Drosophila melanogaster: one gene and its partners. The gene in region 1 interacts genetically with each later gene. Each region holds a gene or a part of one and is shown in the gene's direction. Other genes may lie near its edges.

Region 1 (5,287 bases):
TTATCTCGATCAGATATAAATATAGCTCGAAATTTTAATAGGTCTAAACTGTTGTTAAACATATTTTTACTTGATAGATGAATTCATTATACTCAGTTTACATCGGTTGCAATTTGCAATTTTACAATATTATTACTTATTTTAAGTTTAGGACTGAGTATAATGTGTTAGTTATGAAATGGGTCCCTGATAAGTTAGTAATTTTGTTGCAGCGGAAACCGCATCGACAACATTAATATAATATTTGGGCGGTTGAGGCTATGGCGTATAACGCAGCCCGCCGCTTTACTTCGCACCACGAAGTTGTTGATTGATGGCTGCAAGGCGCTCTTTGTAGCGCTGCCGGTCTTCCTCATTAGTTGCCGTCTTCAGTAGTTCGATGTTGAGCCTCCGGGCGCTGAGCAACTTAATCCGGCGGCCACCCCTCTTCTTTTTAGGTGGCTGCTCCCTCGCTGCAGTCCGTGCCTTGTACTCTTGTATGGTCAAGGGCTTTGGTCCCGCGGACGGATCTACCTCTATTACCTCTTTGATACTTGGCAGATCCCTTTGCTCGACAGGAGCAGGGTGTTCGAACGTCTGCTTGGTAGACATTCGCTGTTGTCATGTGCGGCGCGCCGGTGGAATCCTTTATCCTTTATCCTAATCCTACCCTCGCAGGATGCCGTGCTAATTGCTGTTGCGGCTTACAATGGTCGAGGGCAGTCGTTCATGCAGACGTCGGGTCTTTTCGGCTTGGGTGATGTTGAATTTTCAGTTATTTCTTCATTGATTATTTCTATTTTTGCTGAGTGAGTTGTGGTATTCGGCTTTCTTTGCTGGAGGTTTTCTTTCAGAAAGTCTAATTCGGCAGTTAATTTCGGTGCCGTTGCCCATGGGGGCGGTGTTTTATTTGTATATCATAGCCACTTAATATGTGCTATACCTTTATTTTTGATTTCCTGACATCCGCGTTTGCCCATTACCACACTCTACTCACTCAGTATTTTTGTTTCTTTTTTTTTTCATCAGTGTCCCGTCTCTAGGTCTCCCGCACTGGTGTAAGGGGCGGCCTGCCTCTCACACCTGTTGTCGCTGTTTAGAATTCCCAAATCAAATCGGCAATATTAGCAGCATTTCCTCAGTAGTCCTCAGATCGCAGGCTCCTGCCTCACGGTCGCCATGTAATAAACCAATATATGCCACCAATTGAGAACACGTGTTTTCCTTGCAGTTGGGTGCAGCCGTCAGGCCACCTTTTTATTTCTTCTTATCTCTTCGAGTAGCAGAAACGGTTCTGCCCGCTTAACCTCTACAGAGTGTCTAATCTTACCTAAATACTGCGACTGCGCCGCCGTCGACAGCGGCAGAAGAGCAGCGTATATATATATGTATAAGAGAGAGAGAGAGAGAGCTTATGCGCATATATGGCCAGCGGCCAGCGTGGGGATGCTGACTTAGCTTAAAGCATAAATGGGTGATCTTATATCACGCTCACTTGAGACATTTATTTATGCAATGCAACTAAGTGTTGCTGTGTACTTATAGGTACAGTGTACCCTCGATATATGCACATACTACAATATATTCTTGTAATCAATGTTTATATTATGTAAATCAGCTGTCGCTCCCCAAAAATTCCTTAATTCCAATTAGAAGACAACGAAAAAATTTCTCTTTATTTACGAATAAAAATTGTCCCTCAACTCCAATTGGAACGGCTGATCCGTCAACATTTTAGTCGGCAACACTTTAGTCTGCAACATTTGGGAATGTTGCATCATCTTGTTGCTATGCATGTTTCCACGGAAAAAGAGAGTATATCATAACAAGAGACCATTCACTTTTTTCGTTTTGAAGCAACAAATTTGAAAAGAGAAAACTTTATGTTTTTCCCGCGGGCTTGTTTGTTTTTTTTTTCTCGCTCTCCGTCGAATTGACTCTACATTTTGATGTGATCTTATTATTAGGTGAATCAGCTGTCTTCAAAAGAACAGTTTTAATTAAAAAAAAAATCCCTCAATTCCAATTCAAATTTCATTTAGAACACAACGAAGATATTTCTCTTCTTGTACGAACAAAATGCTCTCTTAACTCAAGTTGGAACGGCCGTTCCGGCAACATTTAAGTTGGTAACATTGTTGCATGCTGCATGCATTTGAGCACAAGAGTGTCATTTACGATTAGCAACTCGCGGCGAACGGACGTGTGTAAAAAATAGCCGGTGAGAAAAAACGAAGTGCGATTGCCGAAGAAAAACAGAGAGATTTCAAATAATAAAGAAATGCAAATGAAACAGAAGAAAATAAAAATAAAGCAAAGTGCGTGATTTCCATCTCCTCAGTGTTGTGAAATTTCTAGCAGAGTCTAACGGCGATTTGCGAATGCCGACTTAAGAAGTGCGAAAACAAAAACGTGACGCCAGTTTAAAATATTCTCAAGCGAAAATCATGTGTTTTTTGTTATACCCTGTGCTTTGTGTTTAATGTAGCTGACGACAAACAAAATATTAGAATCGTGTACGTCGGGAATCCGAATTCCATCCCCTCGTGTTGTGTTATTATTGTATTAAAGTTTCCTTTGCCATTTACCACACACAACACAGAAAAACAACAACAACAAAACTAAACCAAAATCGAACCAAAAACAAACCGCGAATTTTGCAGGTTAGCCCACCCGAAAGAGGCAAAAAAATCAATTATATGTTGGCCAGTGCCGGGTTTGCAGTGGAATCGGGTTGAAAGCCATCGATAGCCACACACGCCCACACACATAATGACGGAGCACCAGGCCGAGGAGCAGGCGGACACGCCGCCCACCAAGGTCAAGGCCACGCCCACACCCACCCCGAGTGGAAAGTTCAAGGACGCGAAGGAAGACGCCTTCCTGTCCACATCGCCGGACAGCGCCAACGGCGATGCCCAACACAAGCTGCCAGCGGACCAGCTGGCCATGTCCTCCAGTGCGCATCCCCAGCAGGCGGGCCAAGCCCGCCCGCTCATCCTGCAAGCCTTCCACCGCTGCTCCTCGCCAGAACAGTGCGTCACGCTGCACGACATCCTGGACTCCTTTAAGGCGCCGCTCTCCGAGGACCAGGCCTGGGCCCTGATCCACCAGTTCGCCGGGCTCTACCACCAGGTGGCCGTACAAGCGCACACCTGTGCCGCGGACTACGAGGCCGCCCTGCCCACCGGATTCGAGCTGCACTTCCATCGCGACGGCAGCGTCCACTTCTCCGGCCCGGATCAGCTGACGCCTAAGGAGCAACTGCAGCAGGAGCAGATCCCCCTCCCCCCGCAGCACGACGTGATTGTGGATCAGCCGGACCACAGCGCCAGCAGCAGCGGCGACAGCAGCGTCATCAACAGAGGTAAGCAGACCGACCTACTGAAAAATCAATATGCATACATATTTCTCACGGCTACAGTTAGCGGAAATTAATATTCCTGCAGTTTATGCCAGTTGTTTAATTAACGGAAATTAACTTAGTATGAATCTTCTATTCCTTGAATTTTTAATTTATTATTTTTTAAATCATGCTGAAAATATTTGAACTAAAATTGATCTATAGTCATAGTTATTAATGTTATAACATTTATTTATTAACGTGCTGCACACAACTGGCAATCTTTAGAATCTATATAGAAGTGGAAATGTTCAATACAACATTGATCAACTAACAATTTGGATTGATAACCTAATGAACCTGCCAACCCCAAATGACATTTTAATGTCGTTTTTCCTTACAATTATAGTAACATGTTTTAATCACAAATAATTTATTGTACATTGCACGCAAATGCAATTTGACTACCTTTAAGCTAGCAACCCGTGTATATTCTTTCGACTTTGTGTTAAGTTCTGTATCCTTTGAGCAATATTTCCTATTATTTTTTATGAGTCTTCCTAAAGATATATATATAGTTTATGTGTATTTCGGCCCGTCAGAGGTCAGTTGGGTGTTGACTTCAGATGCGGAACTGTAACAGTGATGAAAACTGGGGCTGTGATTAGCTGGGCCGGAAAACCGGTTGCGCTGATGCCTCTCCGAATGCTGAGGGGTCTTTGTCTTTTCGGCAAACGCTTTCATTTTCAGTTAATAAGCCACAGTTAACTTCTTTCTCTCGGCCTTTTATTTTCGGACATCTGCCGTGATGTGGGTTTCCGTGTGCCATCCATCTGACTATTGGCATCGCCCGGCCATCGCCAGCGGAGTCCCCAGCGCTTTCCAAACAAACAACCCACACTATCCGCCATCCGATGATGACCTCTGCATTTAAGTTATGCAGCCAGCCAGCTTTGATTGGGGTTTTCCCCACTTCTGCCTTCTGTCTGATTGCGTGCTGGCTTGGGAAAGTGTAAACGGCGACTCCCATGAAGAAGGTACCATCCCAGTACCCTATCAGCAGTGTTTTTCACTTTCTTTTGTAGCTCGGAGAGCACAAGTATCACTGGAAGAAAGGCAGGTCATGTTCGGATTGGGCAGAAGATTGAACGCTTTTCCTTGCCGCAATACAATCGAATCCAAATCTACGAAAGTAGATTTTTTCCAGTGTAACGATCACAGCCTTTCCTTTCGGCATTCCCCCTGCATTCGCTGTAATTGATGGGGGGATACTTTTTCGCCTCTCGATCTCTGAATCTACAGAACGTGTCTGAGTCTGTCTCGCAGCTAATTGTTTAATCATTCGTCTGCGCGGGGACTGTCAAAATACAGGTCGGTAATCTATCGACTTTTAGATAAGCCACGTTAATTGGAAAATGCGTTTCTGAGTGGGTAGTGATGGGAATCTTGGATTTCGTTCTCCTAGGTGGCCCTTAATGTGACTCAGCTCAGCTTTTGGTCTGCAGCATTAACTGCATTCCATTGCATCTTTCTTCGTATGGGCCTGTCTATCTCTATTTGGCCAGGCCAACTCTGCCTATAGCCGGCTTTTGTATCAGCGTGGCCAATTAGTTAGCTCTTATAGACAATTAGCCAGTTACATGGGTAATCTTAAGGGCACGCAGATACAGGAAGTTACAGTATTAATTGAACTGTGTAACTCGGAGGTGAAGGAACTATAGATGGCTGATAATGCTGTAGGAAGTCCTAGGGGATTTTAAAACCCATTTCAGTATACTACTTAAAATTCAGAAATTTTCTTTTATAAATAACTTAAAAAATGTTCTTAGCTCTTAAACCTCTGTAATTAAAGGTCTGTGATCGTCAATTTCTTATCTAAATTCACACGTAACCTTTGTTTATGCTTATCATCAGAACTTTCCTCGGGCCAAACAGAGATCACCTTGTAACACCTTAATTGCCGCT
Region 2 (5,553 bases), on another chromosome or scaffold:
TCTTTAGTAACGTTTTGTATCCCATGAGGGTGCGAAACCCCTTTGATCTTCAGGGGCCAAGCCAGTCTTTTGTTGCACTCACTTTGTGTTGTGATGACATTGGCTCTGGCTCAGGAGAAGTGAGAATGGATCCCATGGAAACATCATTAGATCGCGTTACCTTATAGCGCGTTCAATGAATGGTAGTTATGCATGGACAGGCATGGGAAAATGATGTTGAAGGTGTCGCGGCGTAGGGTAAATGTCATTAACATCATTAATATTACTGTGAGTCCTGCACATCATTGGATCAGCGAATAATGAAAACCCTTTTTCGTAAAATTTCCATTTTTATTATAAGAGAGTTTGGGAAAATCAAATGCAAATATGTTTATGGGAAAATATTACCTCTATGAAACCAAAGGATGGTTTCGTAACCTTATATACATACATATTATGTACATGAACTATATAAATTGACAAAGGTTGTGAAGCATAAATATAAATTAAAAAGTAATGCTTGAGTATTAATATTCTATTGATTTCCAAACGATTTCCCTTGTCCTATGGCTCCCTACATTGTCTTTCTACATTATAATTCTTTTGCACAGCTGTGTGTGGCTGACCCACCCAGAATTTCATGCTTGTCTGCTTTAACCTAGAATTATCACCTCCCAGTTGCTAGAATCTTCCGGTCATTGTTTGCCATCAAAGGAACAACCAGCTGATTTCAGTTGGCAGTTGTGACAAACTCACTGGAGAAAAGAAGTGAAAAAATGACAGGATGCACAGGCAGCTACCGCAGGATCAGCAGGATATCATGAGGGGGTTCTCTATACAGATTATAGATGGCCGATTGCCCAACTGCCTAGCGATATCACATGAAAAATCAATTTTCCCGACGCATTTCCATTTTCCATGCAATTCATTTAGCCTCAATTCCATTCAACTCATTGCGCAGGCGCAACTCGCCCATTTCCGACGCATTTTCCTTTAATTATGCGGGCATCGGATTTCGTATCAAATTAACGAATTATGCTGGCTGCCAGCTGTGTTGGAGCTAACGGATGAGGCAGTCCATCCAGCCATCAGCTCATATCCTTGTACTCGTAGTCTCGCAATTCTCGAAAGCAATCGCATTTACTTGTAGTCCTCGAAGGAAAGGAGAAGCCCAGGCAGATGTGAGTGAGTGTGTCTCTGTTCGTCGGCAACGGCACATTTCCCATATGTACTTAAGCCGGGGAATGCGGAACCCCGTCGTCCTATCTCCACCCCTACCCATCTTGCTACCCCCACTCCGGTCTCGAACCCTCCTCGTGCTGTCTTGAACTACAATTGCAACATTTGCGCGCGCTAAAATGAAAACATTTCCTTTATATACACGAGGCCGACGTCTTGACAAACACACAGATAAGACGAACAGGGGATCAAGAACTGTGGCACGAACTACCACCAAATAAAAAAAAAATTAGGAGTCGTATAACTCGGCTTACCTGAATTCTAGATACTCTTAAAAGAGGACATTATAGAAAATATATAATATTATATGTTTAATTTAAATTGAAAAGTGGTTAAGATCAGAAGAATTATGCCGTCTGCAAATGACTTGTCTAATATTAAATTAACATTAGAATGTTTAAGGAATATGAAATTTTTGTTCAGCTAATATCTAAAAAATCCAAAATTGTCGTGATATTATTTTCTATGTCCACTAATTATTATATTCAATGTTAATGTTATTAGATTAAAATGAAAGTCCTACGAAATGAAAACCATAAACCATTTTTCGTTTGAAGATCTCGGAAATACCCAACCTGAAATGTTGGGTATATCCCACATAGGTGAAGCAATGCAGGATCGTTGAAGCGACCCCTGCTCGAGCGAGGGTTGTTTTCTTTGCCTCCCCTGGGTCTATCTCGTTTCCACACTCTATCCATCCCTTTTCCACTCGCTGTGCCAGCTGGAGGCTATGTCTGCCTCAGGGATCTTGGACAGAAGGTGAGCTCAGTTAGGTTTTGACAGCGGAACGCGTAGGTACAGTGAAACGGGTAGCAACGGGATAGCGGGTTTAGTGTAGCACAGAACGGACCACAAAGTACAGATGAATTAAATACGACTACAGACTACTACCATATTGTTAAACAGTTTACCTAAAAATCCTAAGGAAAAGATAACCAAATTAAACCGAAAGTTAAAGTTGTGTTTATGTTTGATCGTTGAGTTATTGTTATATCGAAAGTTAAACGAGCGTTGTTAATGAGACATTGATACAAAATCCGAAAAGAATCGTTACCAAGTTAAACCGAAAGTCCAAAAAACAAATTCGAAAATGTCTTTCTCCAAGGCCAAGTTGAAGCGTTTCAACGACGTGGATGTGGCCATCTGCGGTTCGCCAGCTGCGTCCAACAGCTCGGCGGGATCGGCGGGCAGTGCCACGCCCACCGCGTCTTCGGCAGCCGCTGCTCCGCCAACCGTTCAACCGGAACGCAAGGAGCAGATCGAGAAGTTCTTCAAGGACGCCGTGCGTTTCGCGTCCAGCTCGAAGGAGGCCAAGGAATTTGCCATTCCCAAGGAGGACAAAAAGTCAAAGGGATTACGTCTGTTCCGTACTCCTTCGTTGCCGCAGCGCCTACGCTTCCGTCCGACTCCCAGTCACACGGATACGGCCACCGGAAGCGGAAGTGGCGCCTCAACAGCGGCATCCACTCCTCTGCATTCGGCAGCCACCACGCCCGTAAAGGAGGCCAAGTCAGCCAGCCGTCTGAAGGGCAAGGAGGCACTCCAGTACGAAATCCGTCACAAAAACGAACTGATCGAGAGCCAGTTGAGCCAACTGGACGTGCTGCGCCGCCATGTGGATCAGTTGAAGGAAGCCGAGGCCAAGTTGCGCGAGGAGCATGAGTTGGCTACCTCCAAGACAGATCGGCTCATCGAAGCCCTGACCAGTGAGAATTTATCGCACAAAGCTCTGAACGAGCAGATGGGCCAGGAGCACGCTGATCTTTTGGAGCGTTTGGCCGCCATGGAGCAGCAGTTGCAGCAACAGCACGACGAGCATGAAAGGCAAGTGGAGGCGTTGGTTGCCGAGAGCGAGGCACTGCGTCTGGCCAACGAGCTGCTGCAGACAGCGAATGAGGATCGTCAAAAGGTGGAGGAGCAGCTGCAGGCACAACTCTCTGCTCTTCAGGCGGATGTGGCTCAGGCCCGCGAGCACTGCAGCCTGGAGCAGGCAAAGACCGCCGAGAACATTGAGCTGGTAGAGAATCTCCAGAAGACCAATGCCTCCCTGCTGGCCGACGTGGTCCAGCTGAAGCAGCAGATCGAACAGGATGCCCTGTCCTACGGACAGGAGGCCAAGAGCTGCCAGGCGGAACTGGAGTGTCTGAAGGTGGAGCGCAACACCCTGAAGAATGACTTGGCCAACAAGTGCACTCTGATCCGCTCGCTGCAAGACGAGCTTCTCGACAAGAACTGCGAGATCGATGCTCACTGCGATACCATTCGCCAGCTGTGCCGGGAACAGGCTCGCCACACCGAGCAGCAGCAGGCGGTGGCCAAGGTGCAGCAGCAGGTTGAGAGCGACCTAGAGAGCGCGGTGGAGCGCGAGAAGAGCTACTGGCGCGCCGAGCTGGACAAGCGCCAGAAGCTGGCCGAGAACGAGCTGATCAAGATCGAGCTGGAGAAGCAGGACGTGATGGTGCTGCTGGAGACCACCAATGATATGCTGCGCATGCGCGACGAGAAGCTGCAGAAATGCGAAGAGCAGTTGCGCAACGGCATCGACTACTACATCCAGCTGAGCGACGCACTGCAGCAGCAGCTGGTGCAGCTGAAGCAGGACATGGCCAAGACGATCACCGAGAAGTACAACTACCAGCTGACTTTGACCAACACCCGGGCCACCGTCAACATTCTGATGGAGCGTCTAAAGAAGTCCGATGCGGATGTGGAGCAGTACCGAGCGGAGCTGGAATCGGTGCAGTTGGCCAAGGGAGCGCTGGAGCAGAGCTATCTGGTGTTGCAGGCGGACGCAGAGCAACTGCGCCAGCAATTGACCGAGAGCCAGGATGCGCTCAACGCACTGAGATCCTCCTCCCAGACGCTGCAGAGCGAGGTATCGTTGAAGGAGTCCTTGCTCCACGAGCTGCTAGCCGGCGAGGCGGAGACGTTGGCTAAATTCAATCAGATTGCAAACTCGTTCCAGGAGCGCATCGATGGCGACGCCCAGTTGGCCCACTACCACGAGCTGCGCCGCAAGGACGAGACGCGCGAGGCCTACATGGTGGACATGAAGAAGGCGCTCGATGAATTCGCCACCGTGCTGCAGTTCGCCCAATTGGAGCTGGACAACAAGGAGCAGATGCTTGTTAAGGTGCGCGAGGAGTGCGAACAGCTCAAGCTGGAGAACATTGCCCTCAAGTCCAAGCAACCGGGATCCGCCTCTCTGCTGGGAACACCTGGCAAGGCCAACCGCTCCAATACCACCGATCTGGAGAAGATCGAGGATCTGCTGTGCGACTCGGAGCTGCGATCCGACTGCGAGAAGATCACCACGTGGCTGCTCAACTCCTCGGACAAGTGCGTGCGCCAGGATACCACCAGCGAGATCAACGAGCTCCTGTCCGCCGGCAAGTCCTCGCCCCGTCCCGCCCCCCGCACACCCAAGGCGCCGCACACCCCGCGCAGTCCGCGCACCCCCCACACCCCACGAACACCACGATCGGCGGCCAGCACTCCCAAGAAGACTGTCCTGTTCGCCGGCAAGGAGAACGTGCCCAGTCCGCCACAGAAGCAGGTGCTCAAGGCGCGCAACATCTAGGCTATTCCTTTGTAACAACTACTCTATCGTACTATTATAAATTATATACCTTAGCTAAGATCCGATTCGAAATATAATCAATACACGTTGCACACAACACAGCCAGAGGTGTTTCTGAAATCTCTTTCGAGCACTCTCCGACTAAATTCCAAATCTGATTGTTTTCTATCTTTCGCGTTTGTGTTCTGGAAATATGGGACTTACCTAATCTCATAAAAAATATCATTTTGATGCAATGCATTTTAAGGCATGAGAAATCAAATAAAAAATCTGAAAAAGGTGTCTTGGAAAGTGAGACCTTCTTTAAAGCTATTTAAATTAAATAGACTCATCTTTGAATGTAACGAAAATAATGAGAATGCATCAATTATTTTTTCCATTTATTAGCCAATTTATTCATATAAGGTCAAATTATCTGTAAAAAAAAAAAAGAAATAAAAGGTATTCTGATCTAAAATGTAGAAGTGTACAGTATCATCACCTTGAACTTCGTTCTTAAAATACGTTATATCTTGTATATGCATTTAAAAAAGCCTGTACCTAAAGAATCAGGAAATTGTTTACGTTTTTCATACCAACCCCGTGCAACTCGTTTTTGATTTCGATGTGGTGGAATTTTCTCATGCTGAAACTCCTCGTTGAAGAATGAGAAGGAAGGGGTGTGGGCTGCCATGCAATCCGATGGATTCTTGCGACGCTGATTACGCACACGTGTCCCTTGGCACCGCCTTATCCCCGATGGTTACTCGATGGGA
Region 3 (5,107 bases), about 16 Mb from region 1:
TCTATGCATTTTTTTTTTTAAATATGGAAATTGTTCTCGTTTAAATCAAATAAAAGAGACAAAATGTTCATTTAATTGCTTTTCCGCCCAGTCAGCCCAAAATGCAAAATAAACATGACCAATAAAAATCAAACTTCGACACAATGCGAAAAAGGGGAAAGGTTGGCAAAAGTTTTTCGACTCCTCATTAGCTTTTGTCTCCATTGGGGCATTAAATTGGAACGAATATTTGTTTGCTCGGTTCGACTAATTGCGCTGCTAATTTCAATTGTTCGCATTGTCGGCAAGCAATAATAATGCAAAAATTGTAATTACAAATTAACAATTGGTCGTCTGGGTCCCTCGGTGACCTAAAATTAGATTGTGTAAATTTGCAAATTAATTTGCCATTGCACAAAGAGCTCCGTGCAATTCAGCTCGGCAAAATCAGAGCACACAATATCAATTTATTTACTGTGCAATCTGTAAATAGTAGAACATGGAGTCATTAAATTGCAACTGCTAAAAAAAAAACTTGAAAATTTAGTACTGCCAGTCAAAAGTCCAAGTGAGTTGCATTTACATAAAAATAGGCTAACAAAAAAAATATCTACACAGCGTCATACAAGACCGCAAAAATATGGAAATTCAAATAGAAACAGTATCTTTTAGCAAAAAGAGAAAATCTTTAAAATAAAATCATAATAGCCGGCAAATGGAATAATCAACAGACATCAAAACGAATTCGAATTAAATTTTAAACTGCGGGAAGCTTAAAACCGATTTTGTAAACTACAACTGGGTGAAAAGTTCAATACAAATACTTTTATTTACTTTTCACCTTCATTTGTGAAAGGTGATTACCGAAAAATCATCAGCCAACTATAGCAAAACTTTCTCCCAACTTGCGGATGAAACAAAAATGATACAAATTCCTTTTTGCTTTCTTTTTTCGCTCTAAAATTATAAAATCGAAATGGGTTGTAAAAACAATCAGTTGTACAGAATTCTTTGCTTGCTTTCGATTGTTAGTAAAACCCTTGAGCACTCAGTGATATTGTAAAAATACACAAAATATTTAATTGCACAGCAAAGTATAAAAGAAGGGGGAATTATCTTTAATCCAATACTTGTTTAGCTCTGTTATGAAATATTTGAGTAATAAATCCACATAATTGATACTTTTAACAAACAAAATAAAAACGTAATATGTGAGCATTAAAAATGAAAAATGTATCAGTATTTTATTTGAATAATTGCAAGCGGAAGCAAGGAATTTAGTAAAATAAAATAATTTCGTTTTTGAATGAAGGTTACATAAATTTCTCTTAGCGATAAAAACTATTTAATGGATATTAAAGATTTAAGGACATTGTAAATAGATAAACAGAGTAAACCAAAGAGTTTAGAAATTTAATTTGAAATAAATGTGTTTAAAACATAATCGAAAATATTTATTAGAATAGTGAATAATATCTGCATTTTTATGAATGGGTTACTGTGGCGTTGAGTAAGATACATCTATAAATGGTATTTCTTATTTAATTAATGATCTTACTTTTAACTATGTATAATAAAAAAATAGTTTTAAAAATAGTTAAGGAGTTTTATTTAGTCCCCGAACAAACTCAGACCACCCACGCATTTTTCAAGTATCCACCTAGATATAAACAAAGATGTACTGGTAATCCAAAACCAAATATGATCAAAATAGCCAATAACTTTAGTCTAAGTCTGCGACTATATTAAACTGTCCATTTTCGTTCTATAATTTTTACTCAAACTAAATGTAAACTATTAAATCTGCTTTTAAAAAAAAAAAGAACCGAGAGAACAGAAATGTTCACGCCAGGCGATTGAAACATTTTACTGACCTTTTTAGTGCGAAACCAAAAGTTTAAACTAATTTTAATTGTAAACCTAGACAGTAATGATATACGATATATTATACAATGTAAATCAGAATATACGATAATTATAAAGTAAATAAAATGAAATTTAAAACAAGCAGTTCGTCTACACCGTTCAATTGGGTTAGGCATACAAAATTCTGTCAAAATTTGTGTAATTTTTCGTTTCCTTTTTTTTGTTGTATATCGTTTTGGTAAGATGATTGTGTATCCAATGGAAGAGCTCTATCCGGCTATGATGGTCATAGCCATCACATTGTTAGCCCTTCTGCAATGGGGTATTCGTGCCACAATTAAGCCCAAAATATTGGGCCCACAGAAAAACGCAATAAAAAATGGAGTAAACAACAAAAGGAGGAAAGTCCTCTCCGCCATGCAGGTAAATTGAAAAATGTTTGCAATTGTTTTTACCATCTATCTATGCTCTTTTTGCGGTGCGCACAATTAAGGTGGAAAAATGTAGATCGACTGTCAGATATTCTTACAGAAACTGAATATATTTTGCCTATCTGAGCATTAAACAACAATGACCATTAATGATTTATCAGATTTAAAGACCAGTATATATGTATAATATATAATTAATAATCTTCATATATATTATTTTTAATTACTACAACTTAGGCACAACACTAGTATTTTTAACAATCATTGCACTTAACAGATTTTTGTTTTGATTTTAAAAAGTGTATTCAATTATTTCGCAACTTTAAAACTCAATTTTTGTGGAATTTTATTTTTTGACTGCTTGGCAACTCTGACCACCAATGCGTGCCTGTGTGTGTGTTGCTTGTCAGTCTGCGTGTGTGTGTGAGTTTGCGCTGCTGGCAAACCGCAAAATGGTGACATTGTGCAAATAAAAAACAATTTACGATAAACATCAAATTTCCACAAATTACCTTATATTTTACGTGAGTTGCGAAACAGATTGTAAAACGCGAAAACACACACAAACCGAGGGAAAAGTGAAAAAAAAGAAAACCGCGATTCGCAGATTTTACACTGCAATGAACATTTTGTTTCACTGTTCACCATTGTTTGCCAAGTGTGGAATAGGGGCGAGAGGTTTGGAAACTTGGGGGCGTGGCTAAGAGAGGTGCCACTTTAAGCGTGCCGCATGCCCCCACCTGAATCTCGAATTTTGCAATTATTTTTATTGCTCGCCATTTTGCTCGTCTGATGTTTTCCACGTTTTTTTTTTTCACCCCCCAGCTGCAACCTGACGGGGGTTGGGGAATGTGTTTGGGGGCAGAATAGAGGTCGTAGGCCATTTCGAGGGCCCTTCATAAATTTCCACAGTGCGGAAGAAGGAAAAAAAATTATTCTTTATATGAGGGAAATAAATAAAAAAATGCTTGTTAAGCTGCGGCGCTGTATGTTTGCGCATAAAAAGCATACAAATTATGCAGGCACTGTAAGAGATTAAAAACTAAATAAAAATAAGTGTGAAAAATTGCTTCCTAAATATATAACGAGAAACCCTTTTCAATCTTAAATAGTATCATTGATCAAACTTTTCAATCGCACCTTTATCAACACCTCAGATTTTCAGAGCAAAAGAGATTTGCAGCCATCTTGACATTTGTCGGCCAGTATGAGGCGCCACTTTCCCACGATTTTCCATTTCGAAGAGCTCATTCCTGCCCCCTAATTGATGTCGCCAGGTGTCGTCGAACCACATAAACAGGGCTCAACGGCAAAAAAAAAAGAAATCCAGAACAGCCAGTTCACTGGCCGCATTGTGCGCCAGAGGGCCAATAATTAGGAGTGTCTTTAAGATGGGTCTAAAAAATGATAAGAGGGCTGGAAAGCAGATAGCGACATGACCAACTCAAATAGGCAGCGGGGAAACTTGGCCTAGACTGTGTTGACTTGCTGGCCAATGTAATTAGGGAGCATTAGGATTAGACCGACTGTTCCCAAGCAGCGGATAACAAAGCACTGCACAGAGAGAAGATAATTAGGTCTAATTTGTACTATTAAATATACTTCTTTAAAGGTATTAAATAAAAATTCTACTTAGCTCGTGGGAATATCAGAAATTAAATGCCAAGTAGTTGTTAGAAAAATATTGAATAATCCTGAGAAACATACTTCTGATTTTCAGTGCAAACGCAATAAGCCAACTAAAACTTGGCCAACGGCAAGTTGGAGAGAAGGAGCAGAAAATGTGGTAAACTTTTTGCTGTTTTGGCGTAAACAAAAATAAATCAATTTCTTGGTGCGCACAATTGTTAAGATAGTAGATAGGACAGAGTCCATAACGACAGGACCGAACAACAGGATAAGTCCGCAGAGTCATGTCAATGGCCGGCGGCTTTCGAGAAATGGAAATTTCGAAAGACGCCAGGCATTTTTCCTTAGATTCTTTTGCAAATATTCCAAATTCAACGGAAAGTGGAATAATATTTGCACGACTTGCGTATGTAAAGCCACTTATACCTGGGACCATGCTGATTGCATTTGGAAGTATTTTCAGGTGCCTGTGGCAAATTTAAATATTCAAGTGACCTTTAAGAAGAAGTTTTTATAAACAAAAACAATTTAAACATTTCTTCTTGGCACAACTCATATACAGAGTTCCGTGGATTTCCGTGGCATCGCCGATAATTATTTCTTGAAACATGCTAGAATTCAATTTCTAAAACTCCAATCAAATTACCAATATACACGTCTCGAACAGAAACCTAATTTGAATGCCAGCGAAGCGGGTGAAATGTAGTTAACTTTCAGTCGATTTAGTTTGGTTTCGAGCTCCCTTCAATAACCCTTGTTCTAAGCTCCAAGTCCCCCATACCGTCACCATTAGTTCTTATTCCCCGGGTTCTTGTCGCTATTTCTGCTGTTCCTGCTGTTGCATCGCATTCTCATTGACAAGTTTAATTGATGGGCGTCAGCGTCAGCTTTTGGCTTCAGCTCGACGGAGTTTGGGGAAAAGGCCATGGCCAAGACACCATCCCGCATACCCCACTTTGCCCATCACACTCTGACCCCCGTTGTACAGTACACCCTCGATTACCGGAATGGCGACGCGACAAAACCGCAGAATCTAATTTGGCACAAACCACCAAAGCAATTAAAGTTGCAGCTCTGCAAACGGTGTCCGATGCGAATGTTCCCCAACTGTCTATCTGTCTCTGTCTTTCCCTCGGCGCGTTTGTGTGTGTGTGTGTGTGTGTGTGTGTGCGAAGGTATCGGTGTGGGTGAGTCCCTGTGTC

The links.
Region 2: of spir (region 1) and mira, changing one suppresses a phenotype caused by changing the other (phenotypic suppression), as found in Drosophila melanogaster (one study listed by BioGRID).
Region 3: of spir (region 1) and capu, changing one suppresses a phenotype caused by changing the other (phenotypic suppression), as found in Drosophila melanogaster (one study listed by BioGRID).

The regions. Positions count from the first base shown.
Region 1 is NT_033779.5:20,309,069-20,314,355, forward strand, and holds the start of spir (spire), read left to right. Parts: upstream 1-2,150; 5' UTR 2,151-2,751; coding exon 2,752-3,346; intron 3,347-5,287.
Region 2 is NT_033777.3:19,931,429-19,936,981, reverse strand, and holds mira (miranda), read left to right. Parts: upstream 1-1,983; 5' UTR 1,984-2,308; coding exon 2,309-4,798; 3' UTR 4,799-4,948; downstream 4,949-5,553.
Region 3 is NT_033779.5:3,899,756-3,904,862, reverse strand, and holds the start of capu (cappuccino), read left to right. Parts: upstream 1-2,002; 5' UTR 2,003-2,268; intron 2,269-5,107. UniProt on the Drosophila melanogaster protein: Acts as an actin nucleation factor and promotes assembly of actin filaments together with spir. May play a role in intracellular vesicle transport along actin fibers, providing a novel link between actin cytoskeleton dynamics and intracellular transport.